2 linked regions of the Callithrix jacchus genome follow. The protein of the gene in region 1 purifies or fractionates together with the protein of each later gene. This does not show direct contact. Links are inferred from orthologs where the notes say so. Each region holds a gene or a part of one and is shown on either strand. Other genes may lie near its edges.

What was found.
Region 2: the proteins of TBL1X (region 1) and CTNNB1 purify together in Homo sapiens (affinity purification with western blotting; 4 studies listed by BioGRID). This does not show direct contact. The link is inferred for Callithrix jacchus from reciprocal best matches to the Homo sapiens genes TBL1X and CTNNB1.

The regions. Positions count from the first base shown.
Region 1 is NC_133524.1:9,907,829-9,911,328, forward strand, and holds part of TBL1X (F-box-like/WD repeat-containing protein TBL1X), read left to right. Parts: intron 1-780; coding exon 781-913; intron 914-1,296; coding exon 1,297-1,438; intron 1,439-2,295; coding exon 2,296-2,359; intron 2,360-2,467; coding exon 2,468-2,565; intron 2,566-3,500. UniProt on the Homo sapiens protein: F-box-like protein involved in the recruitment of the ubiquitin/19S proteasome complex to nuclear receptor-regulated transcription units. Plays an essential role in transcription activation mediated by nuclear receptors.
Region 2 is NC_133518.1:79,023,169-79,026,668, forward strand, and holds part of CTNNB1 (catenin beta-1), read left to right. Parts: intron 1-1,179; coding exon 1,180-1,324; intron 1,325-3,500. UniProt on the Homo sapiens protein: Key downstream component of the canonical Wnt signaling pathway.

The DNA of each region.
Region 1 (3,500 bases):
GTCAAAATATAAAGAAATCTAAAATATTTACTAAATTGCACTAAAGCCAGGATTTCCCTAGAATCATCAGAAGTCGGCCAGGCACGGTGACGCACACCTATAATTCCAGCATTTTGAGAGGCTGGGGCAGGCAGATCACTTGAGGCCAGGAGTTCGAGACCAACCCTGGCAGCATAGTGAAGCCCTGTCTCCACTAAAAATACAAAAATTACTCCAGTGTTTTGGCACACACCTCTAATCCCAGCTGCTTGAGAGGTTGAGGCATGAGAATTGCTTGCACCTGGGAGGTGGAGTTCGCAGTGAGCTGAGATTGCGCCACTGCACTCCATCCAGCCTGGGCGACAGAGTAAGACTCCACCTCAAAAAAGAAAAGAAAAGGAATCATCAGAGGTAGTATTACTTAGTACATAAAAACAAGATGTTTCTGGAAACCACAGCACCCTTTAAGAGCGTTTCACGGCCGGGCGCGGTGGCTCAAGCCTGTAATCCCAGCACTTTGGGAGGCCGAGGTGGGTGGATCACGAGGTCAGGAGATCGAGACCATCCCGGTCAACATGGTGAAACCCCGTCTCTACTAAAAAAAAAACAAAAAATTAGCTGGTCATGGTGGTCCGTGCCTGTAGACCCAGCTACTCAGGAGGCGGAGGTTGCGGTGAGCCGAGATCGCGCCATTGCACTCCAGCCTGGGTAACAAGAGTGAAACTCCATCTCAAAAAAAAAAAAAAAGAGCGTTTCTTTTGTATTGGTAAGCCACTTACTTCTCTGTGTTTCCTATGACAGATAATCACGTGAAGCCAATGGAAGTAGATGGGGAGGTTGAGATTCCATCCAACAAAGCCACAGTCCTTCGGGGCCATGAGTCCGAGGTGTTCATCTGTGCCTGGAACCCTGTCAGTGATTTGCTTGCATCTGGGTAAGGATGTCAGGATGGGGGCACTCCAGGGTTGGGGAGATGGGAGCTGCTTCCCTTTCTCTGGGGTTCTGCCTTAAGGAACACACACTCCCCATATTACCCCAGTGTGGGCAGACCTGGGAGTGGGCGGCTCTTCTCTGCATGTCTCAATTTTGTGGAGAAGCCATAGTTCCAAGTCATTTTCTCCATGGGGTGGTAAGGAACACAAAGGCATTTAAAATTACCAAACACAAAGAAGGCAAGGAGGGAAACAGGGATCCAGAGGTATGAAAAAGACAGAAGAGCACGTGCCAAAGATGCCATCTGGCCAGAGAGCAAGCAGTGGAGAGCTTCTTCTCCCATTTAAACCAAACACCAGAGGCTCCTGTGTTTTTATTCTGCAGTTCCGGAGACTCAACTGCAAGGATATGGAACCTGAATGAGAATAGCAACGGGTGCTCCACCCAGCTCGTGTTAAGGCACTGTATACGAGAAGGGGGCCACGACGTCCCGAGTAACAAAGATGTCACCTCACTGGACTGGAACGTAAGCATCTTCCACCCCCTGGGCACTTTGAAATCGGTAAAACCTGCCAGCCACCAGGCAAGGGCTGCAGTGATGGATGGAGCCCACGCAGACACAGGAGACAGGCAGTCCCCTGTGCTCAGCCCCACCCTGAGGGGCTGCCAGAGAGGTGGTCCTGGCTTTTCTTTTTTTTGAGATGGAGCCTTGCTCTGTTGCCCAAGCCCCAATGCCGTGGTGTGATCTCGACTCACTGCAACCTTAGCCTCCTGGGTTCAAGCAAGTCTCCTGCCTCAAGCTCACGGCACCACACCAGGCTAATTTTTATATTTTTAGTAGAGACAGGGTGTCACCATGTCAGCCAGGCTGCTCTCGAACTCCTGACCTAATGTGATCCACCCACCTCAGCTTCCCAAAGTACTGGTATTACAGGCGTGAGCCACCGTGCCTGGCCAGTCTTGGCTTCTAAGAGCTATTAACAAGGCTGCATTTGGCAGACAGTGAGCTGTGTATTCAGTAGCCATATCTTTGCATGTGAGCATGCTGTAGCAAAATGAGCCTGTGGCCTCATGGTGGGAAGGTAGGCTGGAAGCCCCAGAGTAGTTCTCCTGGAGAAAGATGATGTGCAGCCCAGAAAAGGTGACTTCCCACCTTGGGATTTCAGCAGCAGGGGTTATATGCATTGACATGTGGGATGCACACAGTTTGACTACTTTTTTATTTTCTGCAAAGTCTTGTGATAACTTTCAGCATGGTATTTTTAATTCTGTCATTAAGGAACACGCAGTGGCAAATAGTCCCAGTGTACTGGGATCCGGGAGAGGCTCTGGGAGCCCCTCCTAAGTTGTTTTTGTGGGTTTGTGTCTCTTTCTGGCCCTCAGACCGATGGAACACTCTTGGCTACAGGTTCATATGACGGTTTTGCAAGAATATGGACGGAAGATGGTAAGTCCAGTGTCCCTCGTGCTGGGGTTGGGTAAGAGGAGCTGCTGATGGAACCCTTGAGTGAACAGCCTGTGACACTGAAGTCAATATGTTTGTTTTTACTAACAGGTAACCTGGCCAGCACCTTAGGCCAGCATAAAGGCCCCATCTTTGCCTTGAAATGGAACAGAAAGGGGAATTACATTTTGAGTGCTGGTGTGGACAAAGTGAGTATTAGCTTAAAAAATATCCCTTTGAGCTACAGGTGGTTAGATATTTTTAATCTCAAAATAACATCATGGTTTCTTGGAACTCTTAGGTTTTGTGCTTCCCCTAAAGAAATGAAAAGGATTTGTTAGGCTTTGTTTTTGTGGTTTTGAGCTTTCTGTTACTTTGTAACACATCATCTCTTAATATAGTCTGCTGTTCTGCAGACCCATGTGCAAAACTTCCCTTTATTTGAGGTACATGGTTCGTTGGTAGAGAGAGGAAAAATCTCCACATTGCCTTTGTCACTTGCTGGAAGGAGCCACGTGGTATGGGGCATGCCCTGCCTGAACTTTCACCCACTGATGGGCAAGTGGCACCGGCTGTGTATGTTCTTCAGGCTTCGTCTTTCCTCATTTGATCAACTGCTGCTTCCCACCGTAGACTGCAGATTTCTCTGAGCAGGAGTCAAGCAACCTGGGTAAAAGGGCACACTCTCCCGATGGCCCACAGATTAGAATTGACTTGCTCTGCACCTGGGCAGGGCTGCAGGGAGACATGGCGGCGTTAACTCCAGGTGCATCTGAAAACCATCAGTGGGGTGGGAACGAACACAAGGGCAAAGAGCAGGGGGATGCAGACTCCATCCCAGCCCGGAGCGATTCAACCAGCAATCTCAGCCTCTGTGCATTTCACTTTACTCACTTGTCCAGCGACAGGGCTGGCTGGAGTCATGACCCCAAACAGCTTTTGTGGAACTGTTGTGCGTTCCCAAGACTCAGCAGGAATTCTAAGTCATGGCTTTGGAAAAAAAAAGCATTATCTAGAATTGAAAAAAAGAAAAAAATAGACATGTTTTCACATCAGTGTGTGTTTCTACAACAGCTGGAAACCATGCATGAATACTGGAGGATGCTCGGACCTCCACAAATCTTTGCATTTTGTGATGATTTCA
Region 2 (3,500 bases), on another chromosome or scaffold:
TTTCCATGAATGAGGTTGTGGGGATGGTTTCTGGATGATACTGTTCCACCTCAGATCATCAGGCACTAGATTCTCATAAGGAGCATGCAGCCTAGATCTCTCACATGTGCAATTCACACTGGGGTTTCCACTCCTACAAGACTTTCATGCTGCAGCTGATCTCACGGGAGGTGGAGCTCAAGCTGGCTAATGCTCACTCACCTCCTGCTATGCAGCCCAACTCATTTCTATTTAAAATCTTTGAGTTTTCATATGTAAAGCACTGTGCTAAGTCGTAGGGATATGATAGGCAAGCTTCTCTTCACACTTTTGTTCTAAGGTGGGATGTAGATGCTGAGAATAATAACCTAATTAATATTTAATTTATGTAGTGGGAAGAAGTGGGGCTATGAGAACACATAACAAGTGAAACAGGCCCTCTTTTTCAGGGTTCAAGGAGGCCTCTTGGAGGAAGTGATAGTTGAGTTCAGTGTTCAAGAATGAGAAGGGATTCACTAGGTGAAGGTTAGGTAAGAAAACAGCATCTTTGAAATGAAGGAAGGAGATGGAAAGTTTTGAGAATTTAAGAAATACTAATGAGGAAGGAGGAAGAAAGGCTTGAGGTGAGGCTATTGAGATAGACTCAGCAGATCTCATAGGGCTTTGTAGAACATGTTTAAAAGCACAATAGGAAATTTCAGAATCATGAAATGAAATTTGTTTTTAGAGAATTGGGACAGTGTCAAGAGGGAGGATATATAGGGAATGAAAGGGCAAGAGTGAATGATCCTTTTATAATATCTGTTTTTAAGGTGGATATAATTAGGAAAATTAAAAGGGCCAATTGATTAGGAGTTTTAAGTACCAGTTCTGGTTCAGATTTCAGTGAGTCAGTTTTGAGGGCATTACTGTTGCATACCAACATGGTTTCTAAATTTTTTTTTGTTTTTCTATGAGCAGTATGGGAAGAAGGAAATTGGACCAAAACTGATAACATTCTTGGGAGGACTGGGATGTCTGAATTTGAGTGGAATGCTTTAAAGGGACAAATTGAATAGGGCCCCAGTGTGGGGATCTGAGTGATGGGGTCCAATGGCAAGCTGGCTGAAATTCTTGTGTAATAAAATAGGTTGGTAATACAGCTTTTCTCAGACATTTGATCACGATTTCATGACCAACAGTATATGTACATCTTTCTAGCTGATTATACTGGCCAGTGGTGGACCCCAAGCCTTAGTAAATATAATGAGGACCTACACTTATGAAAAACTACTGTGGACCACAAGCAGAGTGCTGAAGGTGCTATCTGTCTGCTCTAGTAATAAGCCGGCTATTGTAGAAGCTGGTAAGTATATGTATCTGTGTCTGTAGTTCTATTTAGATTACTTTTATTAGAAAAAGGTGATAGCTACCCAGGAGGCTGAGGCAGGAGAATTGCCTGAACCCAGGAGGCGGAGGTTGCGGTGAGCTGAGATCGTGCCATTGCACTCCAGCCTGGGTAACAAAAAAAAAAAAAAAAAGAAAGAAAGAAAGAAAAAGGTGATAGTACTTTAACGACTGAAAATAGACGGTCTTAGTTTGCAGCCAAGATTACATTCAGAGTATGTGTCATCAGAGTACAGTAGCTAAATATTTAAGACTAGGTAGAGTTCTTATTATCTATCAGAAATTAATGGCACATATTGTACTTGATAAAATTTGTTTGTAATTTGTTTTGAGTAAACCTGAGATTTGCTAAGAGACCTATGAATTTATAGGAGAAATGACAAATTCTAGTATAGTACAATTTTATGAAGTAAAATGATTGCTTTATTAGTAGATGCTCATGAGCAGTGTGTTTTTTTTTTTTTTAACTTTTAGGTTCATTATATAGGTAAATTGCATGTCACAGGTTTACGTGCAGATTATTTTGTCACCGAGACAATAAGTATTATACCCAATAGGTAGTTTTTCAGTTCTTTATCTCCCACCCTTAAGTAGGCCCCAGTGTCAGTTGTTCCTTTTTTTGTGTCCATGTGTACTCAATGTTTATCTCCCACTTAATAAGTGAGAACATGTGGTATTTGGTTTTCTGTTCCTGTGTTGGTTTGCTTAGGATAATGGCCTCCGGCTCCATCCATGTTGCTGCAGAAGGCATCTTGTTCCTTTTTTATGGCTGCATAGTATTCCATAGTGTATATGTACCACATTTTCTTTATATAGTCTACCATTGATGGGCATTTAGGTTGATTTCCATGTCTTTGCTATTGTGAATAATGCTGCGATGAACATATGTGTGCATGTCTCTTTATGGTAGAAAGATTTCTTTCTCTTTGGGTGTATACCTAACAGGATTGCTGGGTTGAATGGTAATTCTGTCTTAAGCTTTTTGAGAAATCACCAAATTGCTTTCCACAGCGGCTGAACTAATTTACTTCCCACCAGCAGTGTATAAGCATTCTTTCTCTCAGCATCCTTGCCAGCATCTGTTGCTTTTTGACTTATTAGTAGCCATTCTGATTAGTGAGAGACATTATCTCATTGTGGCTTTGATTTGCATTTTTCTAATGATCAGTGATGTTGAGCTTTGCTTCGTAAGCTTGTTGGCCACTTGTATGTCTTCCTTTGAAAAGTGTCTGTTTGTGTCTTTTGTCCACTTTTTAATGGAATTGCTTCTTTTTTGCTTGTTAAGTTTATTGTAAACTCTTGATATTAGACCTTTGTCAGATGCTTAGTTGGCAAATACTTTCTTTCATTCTCTAGGTTGTGTTTACTCTGTTGATTTCTGTTGGTGTTCTGAGCTCTTTCTACTGTCCCATTTGTCAATTTTGGTTTCTGTTGCAGCTGCTCTTGGCATCTTCGTCATGAAATCTTTGCTAGGTCCAATGTCCAGAATGGTATTTCTTAGGTTATCTTCCAGGGTTTTTATAGTTTTAGGTTTTATATTTAAGTCTTTAATCCATTCTGAGTTGATTTTTGTATATGGTAAAAGAAGGGGTACAGTTTCAGTCTTGCATGTGGCTAGCTAGTTATTCCAGCACCATTTCTTGAATAGGGAGCCTTTTCCCCATTGCTTTTGTTGACTTGTTAGGTGTGCGGCCTTATTTCTGGACTCTGTTGTGTTCCATTGGTCTGTGTGTCTGCTTTTATACCAGTAGCATGCTGTGACTGTAATCTTATCTTAATAGTATAGTTTGAAGTGGGGTAAAATGCCTCCAGGTTTGTTCTTTTTGCTCGGGATTGCTTTGGCTATTCAGGCTCTTTATTGGTTTCATATAAATTTTTAAATAGTTTTTTTTTTTTTTTAATTCGGTGAAGAGTGCCATTGGTAGTGTGATAGGAACAGCATTGCACCTGTGAATTGCTTTGGGCAGTGTGGCCATTTAGCAATATTGATTCGTCTTGTCCATGAGCATAGCACGTTTCTTCACTTGTTGGTGTCACCCTGAGTTCTTTGAGCAGTGCTCTGCAATTCTTGTGGCAGAGGTCTTTCACCTCACTGGTTAGCTGTATTTCTAGGTATTTTGTTCTTTTTGTGGCTG